Linked DNA regions of Elephas maximus indicus. The protein of the gene in region 2 binds, or shares a complex with, the protein of the main gene of each other region. Links are inferred from orthologs where the notes say so. Each region holds a gene or a part of one and is shown on either strand. Other genes may lie near its edges.

Evidence for each region.
Region 1: the proteins of TLN1 (region 2) and PIP5K1C are in contact, whole or in part, in a crystal structure (PDB 1Y19), measured with the Mus musculus proteins. The link is inferred for Elephas maximus indicus from reciprocal best matches to the Homo sapiens genes TLN1 and PIP5K1C. Residues at the interface, in NP_035732.2 of Mus musculus: Pro209, Val210, Gln211, Leu212, Leu214; in NP_032870.2 of Mus musculus: Pro646, Leu647, His648, Tyr649, Ser650, Ala651.

The regions. Positions count from the first base shown.
Region 1 is NC_064821.1:6,755,935-6,763,850, forward strand, and holds the start of PIP5K1C (phosphatidylinositol 4-phosphate 5-kinase type-1 gamma), read right to left. Parts: upstream 3,062-7,916; 5' UTR 2,967-3,061; coding exon 2,873-2,966; intron 1-2,872. UniProt on the Homo sapiens protein: Catalyzes the phosphorylation of phosphatidylinositol 4-phosphate (PtdIns(4)P/PI4P) to form phosphatidylinositol 4,5-bisphosphate (PtdIns(4,5)P2/PIP2), a lipid second messenger that regulates several cellular processes such as signal transduction, vesicle trafficking, actin cytoskeleton dynamics, cell adhesion, and cell motility.
Region 2 is NC_064827.1:44,515,718-44,523,009, forward strand, and holds the start of TLN1 (talin-1), read right to left. Parts: upstream 3,028-7,292; 5' UTR 2,799-3,027; intron 1-2,798. Other genes in the region: CREB3 (cyclic AMP-responsive element-binding protein 3), read left to right, coding at 3,499-3,627, 3,729-3,876, 3,953-4,017, 4,132-4,221, 5,466-5,572, 5,671-5,739, 6,369-6,453, 6,552-6,636 and 1 more. UniProt on the Homo sapiens protein: High molecular weight cytoskeletal protein concentrated at regions of cell-matrix and cell-cell contacts. Involved in connections of major cytoskeletal structures to the plasma membrane.

The sequences.
Region 1 (7,916 bases), on a different chromosome or scaffold from region 2:
GTAACTTGCAAATCTGCCTGACCTTGGCCCAGCCACTGCACGGCTAGAAATGAATGCACCCACGGTTATAAGTCCATGATCAAAGATGTTTACCGTTGCCTTGCTTGTAACAGCCCTTGTGTGGCACAGTGAACTCGCTTGCTGCTAACTGGAAGGCTGGCAGTTTGAGCCCAGCCAGCGGTGCCTCGGAAGAAAGACCTGGCAATCTACTTCTGAAAAATCCACTGAAAACACTTTGGAGCGCAGTTCTATGATGACACACGTGGGGTTGCCACGACTTGGCATTGACTCGACGGCAAATTTTTTTTTTTTTTTGCTTGTAACAGCTGAGGAATACTCCAGAAACAACCAGAACGTTCCTCAGCGGGAGGCTGGCAGACTTGATAACTGCATGTGTGGAAAGCTAACTAGGATTCTTTGATGACATGTATTAACCACTCACAACCTGCTAAGTCCTGCGTGACTCACCAAAGGCTCCCAGCCACCCTCTGGGCTGGGTGTCATCATCACCCCCATTTTAGAGATGGGCATACTGAGGCTCAGGGGGGCAACAACATCTGCCTTTCAAGGTTAAGTGGCAATTGAGAGGCTTAGCTGGGATTCCAACCCATGCATCGTAATTCCAGAGCTTCCACCGTCTCAACTACACACTGCGCTCTGTCTCTACTCCGAAAAAATAACTGAAAGCGATGTGAGGGGAAAAATCTAGATTACTACAGATTAACAAGCATGTTACGTGATAATTGTTACAGTACAGAGGTTCTCAACTGGGGGTGATTCTGCACCCAGGGGACGCTTGGCAATGCCTGGAGACATTTGCGGTTGTCCCAGCTGGGGGGCGGGGGTGCCACTGGCATGAAGTGGGTGGAGGTCAGGGATGCTGCTCAACACCCTACAGTGCACAGGACGGCCCCACCCTAGGGAATGATCCAACCCCAAACATCAGCAGTGTCGAGGCAGAGAAACCCTGGTAGAGAGGAAACCATTTCGGTAAAGAACAAACGAGGCCATTTATGTGTTTATACGTTTGCATGAGCAACAGAAAATACGTGGACAGTTACAACCCAAACTGCTAACAGGAGAACCTGGTCTGGGGGGAGAGGCAGCTCTTCATTTTAAAAAGAGCGAAATAAGTAATAAACCAGTGGAGTCAGATCTCTGAGGATTTAGGGGAGCAGGGAGGCAAGGCGGAAGGGCCAGCCCCTTCTCCAGGCTCCTCCGAGATGAGACCAGCCAGAGCCTGAGGAGTCAGGGACTTATCTGTCCCCATCAGCTCCCTGAGCCCCTGATAAGATAAATGCTGGCTGCGGCTTTCCTGTGGTCGTGAGTTTTGGGCTATTTTGCCTATGACCACCCAGGCCAGAGGGCGGAAGTCATGAGGCCAGGAAGGAGGGGACCTTGGCCCCACTGGACACTGGCTGCCGGCAAAGAACGAGGGCGAGGCACCTGGCCTGTCGGAATTAACCGGGTCATCTACCAAGCGGTTCCAGATGGCAGCGGGAAGGAGCCAGGGGAACTCTCGCGCGCGTTCTCCCCCTCTCTCTCTCTCCCTCCAGACATTTCTCCTTGCTCCCAGGCACCACACACAGCATCTCCTTGCCTGCCAAGGAAGCTTCGGCAGGCCCGGGGGAGAGGGAGGACGGATGCCCATGTGGGTGTCAAGAGACGCTGCCACAGTCATGAAGGCTGCGGGGGGGGGGGGAAGGCGGAGGATTTTGTGGATTTGAAAACTTCCCACTTGGTAGCTTGTGACCAAGAGGGTACGGTTCCTTTGGGTAGGGGCTCTGCCCTGCACACCACCCCAAGCGCAGGCAGGTGGGGAGACCCCAGGGCAAGGAGGGGCCACCCATCTCCCCACACCTGTTCTGCTGGGGGGCGAGGGAGAGGTGAGAAGAAGGGGAACGGGGACCAGGGAGCCATGACCCCTCACACATGTTCAGGGAGAGGGCTGGGGGGACAGGCCACCAAGGTCTCCTGCCCCCGCATGCTTGCCCAGCCTCGGCATCTCAAAACATCATCCCCTTGAGCTCCTCATTTTATAGGGAAGGAAAACTGAGGCGCAGGAAGGAAGGGAGTGGTCAGTGCACCGGTACCCAGGTCTGGTGTATTCTAGAGAAAGAGCTGAGACAAAGTCAGGAGCTGACCTGGAGGGCCTCAAAGACTCCCACCTCTGCTCCCTGCAGCCCCTTCCCTTCAAGACCAATTAGAGATACCATACCCACTGGGGTGATGCTTGTGGGTGGGAGGCCAGGAAGCTGGCACGCGGAGGGGCGCCCCAGAGGAATGGGTCAAGGCGGGTGTTGACAGCTGGGGCATTGTCAACCCCCTGCCATGGACCCCCTAGAGAGCAGATCCCCTCAGCAGAACGGGGGTACTCAACCATCCCACACTCAGAGCACCCCCTTGACAAAAAGAGTGGGTGGGATGACGCCCCAAGCACACTCAGAGTGAGGCAGTTCACCCACCCAGCTTCCTAAATGGGGCACCCCGACCCTCCCTCCCGGGGTCCCCCAAAAGCGAAGACCATCTTGCCGTATGCTTCCAATCGGGCTGCTGCACCCACAGGCTCCCAGGATGGGGGCCTGCGCCCACGTCCCGCCCCCAAGCCGGTGGTTCTCCACCGCCCCCCACCCCCAGAATGGGCGGCGCCACTGCGCGCCCCCAGGGCAGGACGTTCCAGTCTCCCTGGGCCCCCGGCATGGGCCGCTCCATCCCCCCCGCGAGCGCCCCCGAGTGGAACGTTCCGGCCTCCCCGCCGCAGCGGGTCCGCGCGCCCCTCCGGCGCTCGGGCGGGTCCACTGGGCGGGCGGGGGGGACGGCGGGCGGGCCCATTCGGGGCGAGGGGAGGGACGGCGAGGTCCGGAACCGTTACCTGCCGCCGCGCCGGTCTCCGCGGCCCACGCTGCCTCCGAGGGCACGGCCCCCGCCTCGGCGCTCTCCGCTTCGTCCGGCACCTCCAGTTCCATGGCCGCGCGCGGGCCGGGGCGGGCGGCCAGGGGCTGCGAGCCGAGCTGCGGCCGCCGCCGCTGAACAACAACCGCCGCCGCCGGCTGGAGGGAGCAGGGAGGGGGCCGGGCCGCCGGGGGCGGGGCCGGGGCGGGACCAGGCGCTGCGCCATCGCGCACCCGGGCGCCGCCAATCGGGGCTCGGGCGCGGGGCCTGCGCGCGTCCGCGGAAGCCGGGAGCGCCTCGAGCGCCCCCAGACGCCCAGGGGGTGGAAGGGCACGTCGTTGTCGTCCTTATTTAATATTGTCCCCATCATTCTAGTCACCCAGCGGCTCCGCGGGACAAATGCCTGGCGATCTGCTTCAGTAAAGATTTTTGTGGTTGTGAGGTGCTGTCGAGTCATTTCTCGACTCGTAGAGACCCCATGTGACAGTAGAAGTCCCCGTTGGGTTTTCTTGGGGCAACAGCTAAGCACTCTAACGGTTAAGCTGCTAACCCCAAAGGTTAGTGGTTCAAACCCACCCACTGCTCCGCTGGAGGAAGACCTAGCGATCTCCTTCCTCCCTTAGAGATTAAAAATTACAGCCTAGAAATTGACTAGACGCCACTTAACGACAACAGTCTTTACAGAAGCAGATAGCCCGCCCCGTCTTTCTCCCGAGGAGCCGCTGTGTAGGTTCGAACCACCAACCTTTTGGTTAGCAGCTGGGCGCTTTAACCCCACTGTGCCACCAGGGCTCCTTCCCGCCCCTGGTACGCACTAATGAATTTTGGTCTCTATACGTTTGCTCTGGAAACCCTGGTGGCATGGTGGTTAAGTGCTACGGCTGCTAACCCTAAGGGTCGGCAGTTCGAATCCGCCAGGCGCTCCTTGGAAACTCCATGGGGCAGTTCTACTCTGTCCTATAGGGTCGCTATGAGTCGGAATCGACCCGACGGCACTGGGTTTTTTTTTTTTTTTTAACACATTTGCCTGAGGAGCCCTAGTGGTGCAGTGATTAAGCTCTTGGCTGCTAACTGAGAAGTTAGCAGTTGTATGCCACCAGTTGCTCCAAGGGAGAAAGACATGGCAGTCTGCTTCCTTAAAAATTACAGCCTTGGAAACCCTATGGGGCAGTTCTACCCTGTCCTATCGGGTCACTATGAATGGGAATCAACTCAATGGCATCGGGTTTGGTATATACGTATAGACACGTGTACTCACCACAATTAAATAAATATTTAAAAAATAACGTTTCTGAGCATTTATTAGGCTTGACAATAAAGTCTCTCTCTCCATGAGATATTTCCATAAACTGTTGTCGTGGGCCGTTGAGTTGATTCCAACTCACAGGGGCCCCTGTGACAAAGCAGAACTGCCCCCACAGGGTTTTCTTGGCTGTAATCTTTACAGGAGCAGATTTCCAGGCCTTTTCTTCCTTGAAGCCTCTGGGTGGGTAGGAACCACCAGCCTTTCAGTTAGCAGCCAAGTGCTTAGCCATTTGTGCCCCCGGGGCACCTTTTGTTGTTGTCGTTGTTGTCTTGTGCGGTCAAGTTAATTCCAACTTTCGGCGACCCCCACGTGTCACAGGATAGAGCTGCACTCCTTCACAGGGTTTTCCTTATGGAAGCAGAGCACCGGGCCTTTCTTTCATGAATCCATGGGCGGTTCAAACCGCCAAACTTTCAAGCATCAGCTGAGCACAACCCTTTTGTACCACCCAGGGTCTTTCTTTTTTATAGTATATTCCCGGTACCTAACAGACAACTGGCACCTAGAGGATTTGAAAGTATTACTTTTGAAAACTTATCATTTCAAAATTGATTTGACACTTGTTAATTGGAAAAGATTAACCGACCTTATGGGTGCTATTATCATTCCCGTTTTACACGCGAGAAAACAGGAGCTCAGCCATCTGCTCTGAATCACCCGAAGTGTCACCCCGTAAATCAGTGCTATCTTTGTGCTGGGAACACTTGAGTTAACATTGTTATTGGTACATAATGGTGAGTGTATTCATTACAGGAGTGTTCATTCTGATGTCAGGATTTGGGCATAATAAATGTGGCTATTAGTTGTTGTTGTTAGGTGCTGTCAAGTCTGTTCCGACTCAATAACGACCCCATATACAACAGAATGAAACACTGCCTGGTCCTGTGCCATCCCCGTGATGGGTTTCAGGTCAGGCCGCTGTGATCCATAGGGTTTTCACTGGCTGATTTTCAAAAGTAGATCGCCAAGCCACTCTTACTCGTCCAGCTCAGTCTGGAAGCTCCGCGGAAACCTGTTCAGCATCCTAGCAACAGAGAAGCCTCCACTGACAGACCGGTGGTGGCTGGCGCATGAGGGGCCCCGGCCTGGAATGGAACGTGGGTCGCCTGCATGGAAGACAAGCATTCTGCCACTGAGCCACCACCGCCCCCCGTAGAGTCTGAGAGCCCCGGGATCTGATAATGGCAGAAGGGCTGGGGCTGGGAGCAGCGGTGAGGATAAAAAAAAATGACACAAATTTAACCTCAGGGGTGACTCTGAATCTCTCCTGGTGGGAACCCAATATGCAAACTGAAAAGTCAAGAAGCGGTAAGACAAAAAACTAGCACAGTATTTAAAAAAGAGGGGGTAAATGTCAAAACTATCAGCTAAAACAACGTGGGAGCAAGTTTCCAGGAGAATTCAATGTTGATTTCCTTAATGAAACTTGACAATTATTTGACTCTTGAAAATGCATGTATATTCTGTTTGGGGAAAGGAAAATGTTGGAACTGGATAACGGTGATGGTCTCACGACATGTGACTGTAATTAATGCCACTGAGTTATGCATTTAAAAATGGCTAAAATGGCAAATTTCATGTTAAACGGACTTACCCCAATAAACATTTTTAAAGCAACTTTTAAGTGCGTGCATGTATAACCTTAATAAAAAATGGAAACAAAAAAAAAGAACTTGGAGGTGGCGTCTCCCCACCCTCCCATCCCTCGGGGGTCGTCCCCATTTTGCGGGGTCCAAAGCTGGGGCTGCCCTGCTAGGGCCGTTGTCTGGTTTCTGGCGCCCCCTGGTGGCCCGAGTGGCTGCTGCCATCAGCATCAGATACCGCCTCCAGTAAGAGGGTCCTGGCAGGGTGTTTCCATCTCCCACTCCATATTCCATTAATTTCACAAATATTTATTGAGCTCCTACCGTATACCAGGCACTATTCTAGCCCTTAGGGATATAGCGATGAGCAAGACAAAATGGGATTACATCCTAGAGAGATAACATGCAAGCAAGTCAGGCTCAAGGTAGTTCCAGTGGCTGATAAAATGCTTTAAAAGTCATACAGGCAGCTGTGAAAGAAAAAGATAGGCTCTTTTTTTTTTCATTAGCTAATGGGTTGTTGTTGTTAACTGCCCTCGACTCTTGGTGACTCCGTGCACAACGGAACAAGATGCGACCCTGTCCTGCACCGTCCTATGATCATCTGGGCATAAGACCACGGGGTTTCATTGGCTAATTTTGGAGACTTGATTGCCAGGCCTTTCTTCCTAGCCCATCTTAGTATGGAAGCTCTGCTGTTCAGAGTCCTAGTAATACGCAAGCCTCCACTGACAGATGGGTGGTGGCTACGCATGAAATGCACTGGCTAGGAATTGAACCTGGGACTCCTGCGCGGAAGGTGAGAATTCTACTGCTGGACCACCACTGTCTCATACCCTACCCGTTGCCGTCTTGTCGATACCAACTCATAGAGACCCTATAGGATAGAGTAGAACTGCCCCATAGAGTTTCCAAGCAGTGCCTGGTGGATTTGAACTGCAGACCTTTTGGTTTGCAGCCGTAGCACTTAACCACTACACCACTCATACCACTTTCTAGATGAGAAAACTAAGGACTAGAGAGGTTAAGCGACTTACCCAAGGCCACACAGTTGGGAAGAGGTTGAAGGTTCTCGGCAGAGAAACAGGATTTGCGTTCAGATCTGCAGGGAAGTGGGGAGAGTGGGTCTGGTGGACAGTGGAGCAAAAGCAAAGACTTGGCAGTTCTGATGCAGACAGGACAGGGGCAGGCAGAGCCAGGGATTTCAACCCATCCATCCCTTAACTTATTCAGCAAATGTTTTCTGCACACCTGAATGTGCCAATGCCAGGGGCCCAGCAGTGAATGACAGGGCGGGTCATCCTGGCCTCCGGGCACGCAGGGGTTAAGGGCAGCTGCTCTCACGTAAAAGCACCTTACGACAGAGCCACACACCTGCAGCCGCAAGGGCAGGCCGGCCTCTCACACACTTACCACCGGCCAGCGCACGCCGCCACTGCACTAGTCCCAGCTGGCACGGGGCCTAGAGCAGCCACCAGGGAGAAGAAGTTGGACAAACAGGTGGGGAGGCCAGCACCCCAGCCTCAGATCCCCTCCCCACCCCCATGCCAGGTAGGCACCTGGGCCCTGGATCCTGACACCTGCCCAGAAGCCACCCAGCTCCCTGGAAGGTAAGCCCCCTCACTGCCCTACCCACCACCTTGCTGGCCTGGGCTGGGCTGGGATTTGTCCACGGCAGTGTCCTGGGACCCCTATCACCTCCCCCCAACTCCCCAGAAAGCAGAAAACTGACCCTCCAGTATGGGCGTCTGACATGGTTTCCAGGGGATTGGCTGGCTGGCGGCTCCTGCCCTGGCTGCGTGCCCAGGGCACCACTTGAAAGGGTCATTGTTGCCCAGGTGGTGCCAGGAAGGCCCAAGGGGCACAGGTTGGAGCCCCTGAGTGGAGGAGGGGAGGGGGCGTCAGCTCCCACCGAGACCCAGGTTTGCCTCCTGTGGCCTGACGCGGTAGCAGATGGGGCAGGCTGGCACCTGGCTGGCCCTGAGCCTCTGGAAACTTCTCAAGCAGGTCCCAAGCTTTCGGACAGTTGCACCCCCTCCCCACTGCTGGCACCTCCAGAAGCCGGGGGGAGGAGGGGGCCCAGGCTTGGGGGGAGATTATCTGGGCCGAGTCTCCCAACTCAGAAATGCAGTTTG
Region 2 (7,292 bases):
GTCACACAGCTAACAAGTTGTAGAGCCAGGATCCGAACTCAGGTTTCTCTGACTCCAAGGCCCAAGCTCTCTCCACTACGCCAGCCGGAGATGAGTCAAGGGTAGCATTCCAGGCAGAGAATAGCATAAGCAAAGGTGGAGAAGCAGGAAATCGCAGAGGAGCATTCAGGGAAGTGAGTAGGCAGGCTGGTTGAAGCACAGGGTACCTGCAAGGGAGCAGTGGTGGGGAAGTTAGGGTTCGGATAGAAAGGCAAGGGAGGACTAGAGAGGAGTATGAGGTATTTTACCTACTAGAGGGCAGCAAGTGGCCAAGGGAGGCTTTTGAGCAGAGAAGGAACATGACCAGAACTGGATTTTAGAATATAACTCTGACAGTTATCTTGGAGATTGGTTAGAAAAATACCATATTAGCACAAGTGAGAGATATGGAAGCCAGAGTTAGAAGGTGGAGAGGAAGATGTCACTTAGAAAAAAGGTTAAGAAGTAGAACTGACAGGACTTGACAAGTCTGTCCTGTCAACCCTCAGAGACCAGGGCCTAAAGTCAGGTGGGGGTCCCATAGCTTCCTGTCATCAGTAGCCACTTAGTTTCTGGGACAGCTTGAGTTTAGGTAAAGGGGAGAGGAATCAGGTTGAGCTGGGAATGTGAGGATGAGGCTGCCAGGAAAAGGGGACAGGTATGTGGTTAGTAGCCAGGTAGGAGCAGGTGGGGCGTGGTCAGTGACTACATCAGGCTAGAGATGGTGGAATGATGGTGGCAGGAAAGATGAATATATGATAAGTCACTGGATCAGCACAGGGGAAGTAGAGGAATGAATATATGGGCAGTGGCTAAGTCAGACTCAGGGAAAAGATGGAGTGAGGTCAGAGGCCAGGTCAGGCTACAGGGGATTGAAAAGAGATGGGGCTGTCGTCAGTGGCTAAATTAGGTGGGGTGTGGGTACGGTGAGAGGACATTGGCAATGGCTAAGTAAAGCTGGAGCTGGGGGCGGGATGGGATGCAGCCAATGGCTGGGTCAGGCTGGGTAGGGGCTAGGGCTGTGGTCAGTGGCTGGGTCAGGCTGGGAGCGAAATGGGGGTGTGGTCAGTGGCCTGGCTGGGCGTGGGATCAGCAAGACCCAGTTTCCTCTTTGGGTCTCGTTTCCTCTTTTCTGTTTGGGGAGTGGGGGAAGGGGATCTTCAATTGGACCAAGAAATTAAAGGAGGCTTAGAATTGGAAGATGGCACAGGGACTGGGGGTATGTGGCAGTTGTGTTGGGTTGGGGAGGCTGCTCAGATGAGCAGATGGTATGCAGATGGATGAGTGGGTGAAAAAGGTAGAAGGGTGTTTTAACATGATGGGAAAGCTCAGGTTTGGATAAGGGTAAATTAAGGTAGGATGTGTGAATCAAGTAGGGAAGGCCTGGCAGAACTGAGGTTGGGAATAGGTGGTAAGCAGATGAAGAATATGGAGAGTTAAAGGCAAGGGAAGTACTTTGTAAGGGGGTATGCAGGAAGGGTGTGGAATGCAGCGCCAGGGATGAGAGCTGGAGAGGAGGGCTTAATATCTAGGGAATGAGGGAGCAGTAGGAGTTAACTTTCGGTAGATTCGGCCACCCTCTTCTCCCATGACAAGAGCATTTCCTTGGTCTGCTTCCCCCTTAGTCATCAGTCTCTTCTCCCCTCGGTAGTTCTCCACTTATGACTAGACATTGTGCATCTCCTGGGCCCCTGTCCCTTTCTTATCTCTCACCTTGTAAACAACACAGTCCAGGAAACCCCAATCCTCCATTTGTGCTGGCCACAGAAAGAAACTTGGATTTAGAGAGTAGAATAGAGAAGCTGGATTCCTAGTTGCCTGCACTTCCAGCCCAGATTGTCATCATTCTGGGTTAAAGAAGTCCCCGTGACTACCTAGGAATAAGACTTTCCCCCAAAGCAAGAGCATCTACCTAGTGACAGCTTCTTAAATTTCATCTACCTGAGATCAACTACCCTGACCTCAATCATAACCCCTAAAGCTGCCCCCTAATTCCTAACATTAACTCTGACCCTAACCAGTTTCCTGATTGCCAATACTGGCTTTGACAGTCGTCTCTTTCCTAGCAGAGAACCATATTCAATGCCTGATCCTAAATGCTGACCTGACTTTACCGTTAACATCAAACTCCCTGACCTTAACTCTAAATGCTGAGTCTTAAAACTAATATTCACTTGTATTTTTATTCCTAACCCACCCCATCATTATGTATCCCTAATATTGACCTTGCCAACTTCTGTAATCCCTAAAATGGGCGTCTAACCTAATTCCTGTTGTTGACCTTTAACCCGACCCTGAACTCTAACTTTGATTTAGGCTGTCCATCCCAGAAAACAAAATAATGGCCTCAATCTAAACTTTACATATAAAATAGGCTGAATTTACACTAATAACTCGAAGTTTCGACCCTGGCTTTATAACTCTTAAAGCTAACGTTAAATCCACCACCCAATCTCATCTAATCCCAAACTTAGCAAAGCGTTCCTACTCACATATCCACTATCAGCTAACCTCAAAACCTATTACCGCCCTGCGCCTCACTGTGGTCACTCCTCACCTTCCCTAAAGCCCACCGCAGGCAAAGGACTGCGCCTAGGAAAAGCCTGGCTCCCGCAAAACGGCCTACTGAGCTCCGAGACCAAGCCGAGATATATTGGACCCTGACCTCTCCAAAAGGACCCGAAACAGACGCAGGACTGCCAGCGGCCCCGCCCGCCCGCCTCCCGGGCCGGGCCTTGCGGCCCCACCCCGGGGCTCTAGCTCGGCCCGGTCCGGCCTACCTGAGCTGCCCGGCTCTGTGCCCCGCCCGCCGGCCCGCTAGCCCGGTCGTTCTCCCGGTCGCTCTGGGGCTCTGGCCTCGCCCTCCCGCCGACAGGCTCTCTCTCGGCCACTTCCGTCCCCGGAACGTCCCCCACCCGCGGGCGGCGCCCTGGGCCCGCGCTCTATGGTTGCCGGGACTGCAGGAAGCTGCTCTGGCCCCAGCTCTCGATGCTCGACAGCCGGCCGAAGACTGGCAGCCCCTCCCCGGCAGGAAGCAAGGGCGCGCACAATCCAGAGGAAACGCCCGAACTGTGCTCGAGTTCCCTTTTAGTCTGGAATCCTTCCTTTTTTCGCTCGAGGCGAAGGCGGAGCCGGATCACCCGAATTCCCGCCCTCAGGGTGTGCGGAGGCTGACGGGACGTCCCCACTATTTGCATAGCTCCTGGGACGTGGCGCAGCACCCAGGCCACTTCCGAGTTGGAGGGAACTCCATGTCCCAGAGTGCCATGGTGGCGAGATGTATTACTTCCGTTGTGTTGGAAGCGGCAGAGACTGGATCTGGGAGGCGGGTCCGCGTGAGAGTGACAGCTAAAGGCAAAGTGCGGCGAAGAGGGACCCGAGACCAACAAACAACTGGGCTGTGGTTCGTGCCTGAAATTCGGGGGTTGGAGCTGGGTGGCGGGGTGAATCCCCGGGTTTCTGTCCATTCTTGTCTGTAGTATGGAGCTGGCACTGGGTCCCAACGACCAAGACCTGCTGGGTTTTCTGCTAGAGGAAAGCGGAGATTTGGGGGTGGCGCCGGAGGAGGCCCTGGAGGCTCCGCTGGACTGGGAGCTGCCGCTCTCCGAGGTGAGTGGAAGTTCTGAGTAGGTGAGGCACGGGGCTGGGGGCGTCCATGAGGCATGGGATGGTGGTGATAGGTCAAAGCCTGTTTATTGAACCATGTGCAGGTACTGAGTGATTGGGATGTGGAGGATTTCCTGAGTTCCCTGCTAAGTCCCCCAGCATCGTTGAAGGCTCTCAGCTCCTTCAATCCCTGTCCTGTCAGTCATGATCACAACTACTCTCTCCCACAGGAACATGTCTCCGTAGATACAGGTGAGTCTGAAATATTTGAGGTTTATGGGGAGGAAAGTGCTCATGGGTCTGGCTATTCATACTTTTTCTTTTGCAGACAGTGGGAGCTGTGGGAAGGTGGCCCAGATGACTCCCCTGCAGGTGAAGGAGCCTGCAGAGCAGGTACTTGACTAACAGGAGGATTATTCCTACATTGCGCAAATGGGGGCAGGATTCCCCATTCCTCTGACAACCCCTTGCAACTCTGCTTCTCCCTCCCACCCTCAATAACCCCAGGAGATTGAGGAACTGATACTGACAGAGGAGGAGAAGAGGCTATTGGAGAAGGAGGGGCTTTCGCTGCCTGGGACACTTCCTCTTACTAAGGTAAGTCTCCCATTGGCAGAGCAAAAGCTGGAGGGAGGTTTTATGAGTCTCGAGTAAGCTAATCTTGTTAATTTTCTATCAGTAACTTGAAAAAGGACCAACCAAGAAAGCAAACCCACTGTTGTCGAGTCAATCTGACTCATAGCTATCCTATAAGACAGAGTAGAACTACCCCATAGAATTTCCAAGGAGTGCCTGGTGGATTCGAACCGCTGACCTTTTGGTTAGCAGCCATAGCACTTAATCACTACACCACCAGAGTTTCCCAAAAAAGGACAGAGGTGGGAAATTTAGCAAATTTGTTGGTAATGGGAAGCTGGGGCATATAGGTAATATGATGGATGCAAAATGCTGGTTTTGTGGGGTCTGAAACATACAATTTCAGTATTCTCATTAAGAAAAAAAAATCATAATTATCAGCACAATATTACTATAGAGCCTTGTGCAAGTGAGGGTCTCTGACACTTAGATTTCATTGACTTCGTAGTAATCCACTTCTGGCTGAATTATAGAATTAAGCTTTAGATCATTCAGTAAGGTTGGAGTAACAGTATAACAAAAATAAATATAAATTCCTGCGTTTATATTTATTGAGTGACTTCATAGGCCCGGTATTGTGCAACTGTGATGAAATCAATGTTCACTGACAGAATGGTTAAGGGAATTTAAATATAAATTTCTTGCAAGTGCAGTGAGTCAGCAGGTCAGCAGGAAGATACGGCTACTGAGTGAATGGGACTTGGAGGCTGCATCAGTAGAGGTGTTGCCTTCAGAAGTGGAGTGACTATCCTGTTCTCTTTTGTATTTGCCAGGGCACATCTTAGTATTGAGTTTTGAACCCAGATATTTAACAGATATTAACAGGATGGAATCCATCCTGAGGAGAGTAGATAAAATGAGATAAAATTTTTGTCCAGGTTTTTTTTTTTTTAAACTCTGAAGAAATGTCAAATGTCTTAAAATAACTAAGGAAGGTTTGTTCAACACGGCTTCAAAGATTAGATACTAGGTCAGTCCAATGGATAGAAATTATAAGGAGGCAGATGTGGGCTTGGGAGATTTAAAAAAAATATAAAATTGTTAAAAGTGGTCCGGGCTTATTAACAGAGATGTTAACACCTGGCTCCCAGCGGCGTTCTGCACAGAAGCCGAGTGCATACTGGTCAGGTGATTGAACTCATTTGCCTTCCAACTCTTCGGTCCAGTGTTCCTCTGATGATGCCCCTTCCCCCATCTTCTTCCAGAAGGAGGAACAAGCCCTCAAACGAGTACGGAGGAAGATTCGAAACAAAAAGTCTGCTCAAGAGAGTCGTAGGAAGAAGAAGGTGTATGTGGGAGGTTTAGAGAGCAGGTATGAAAGGAAGAAGGGCTCAAGGGTGGGGGGAACAGAGGTAGTTGGAAATGATTTTAAAGGGAAGACAGAGGTCATATCCCTGTTATTCCCCCCAGGATCTTGAAATACACAGCCCAGAATCTGGAGTTACAGAACAAGGTGCAGCTCTTGGAGGAAGAGAATCTGTAAGCAACCCTCCAACATTAGTCCTTTCCCATCACCCCCATTTAATGCTGCCCCACTCTTTCCCCTGTTCCACACTTGACTTCTAACTGGGCAGCTCCTATATGCAATCTGGTACTTAGCCTTCAATGTGGGTCCAGGAAGCTCAAAGTACTGGCAGAATTCACAAATAACTATAACCAAGAAAGAGAAAGGAAGGAGGAAGAAACACTTCAGTGGGTAGATGGCATTTGATAGTAGATAGGATTCTAGGGGTGAAGTAAACATTTCAAGCAGAGTGAACACACCACCATCTGGTTTGGCTGGAACTCTGACACAGGTGAGTTGGGACCAGAAGGTAGAGGTTATGGAATGCCTGGTGAGGACTATGGGCATCATTGATCAGGCAGAACTACTGAAGGTATTTGCCAAAGGAATTTGTCAGGGTGGAGAGATTATTTTTTTTGTTGTTTGTTTTTAATGGGGAGCTTTAAGCATTTTATCTGCAGAAAAGTGGTCACTGGCAAAAACAAAGTAAGAGATGATCCAGGGCACAGATGGAGGGGGTGGCCTTAACAGGAGAGTTTCATTGTATCTCAGTTACCAGGCCAGGGTGTGCTCACTCTCTCTTCTCTCCCTTCTCTCCCTCTAGGTCCCTTCTGGATCAGTTGAGGAAACTCCAAGCCATGGTGATTCAGATATCAAACAAAACCAGCAGCAGCAGCACCTGTGTCCTGGTGAGGCTGGTGATGGAAGGAGACATCTTTTTCTCAGGTAGCGGGGGCAGGGTGCAATCCAGAGCCCCTTTCTTTATCTCCTTTTCTCTGTGCTCCAGGTCCTACTCTTCTCCTTCTGCCTCCTCCTCATACCTGCGATGTACTCCTCTGACATAAGGGGGAGCCTGCCAGCAGAGCATGGAGGTAAGAGGCTTGAGGCTACCATCAAGGAAGGCATGGGTTGGGGGAAGAGGCCCTGGCCTGCCCCTGAAAATCTTCTTTGTCCCCTCAGTGTTGTCCCGCCAGCTTCGATCCCTCCCCAGTGAGGACCCTCACCAACTGGAGCTCCCTGCCCTGCAGTCAGAGGTACCAAAGGACAGCACAAACCAGTTGCTGGACAGCTCAGACCATTTCCTCCAGGTCCCTGGCAATTCTTGCTGCTTTTTGAACCACGTGCCTCAGGATCCTGGTGCAGAGCCTCCCCTGAAGTGGACCCTCTCTGACCCCGTCTCAATGCACTCCTGCCTAAGTCCCATCCTTCCCCTGCAGACCAATCTCACAAGAAAGGGTAGATGGCTCTCTACCCACAGCCCCTCGTCTGTCATCTTGCAGGTCAGATACTCAGGCTAGATGGGAGGATGAGGAGGGCCTCAGCAAGAGGCTGGGAGCCCCAGTCTGTGTCCAAATACAAAGGAATGAGAAAGGGCTACCTTCAGCCCTGCCAGGAAGACTGAGGCTCAAACACACCAGACTTACTGGCTTTCTGGGTCTTTTATTAGTACCTGTGTTGTCTCTATCATTCTGTGAATGGGCCTGGTGGAATCAACTGAACCTCATCGTACATTTCATGCAGTGAAGGG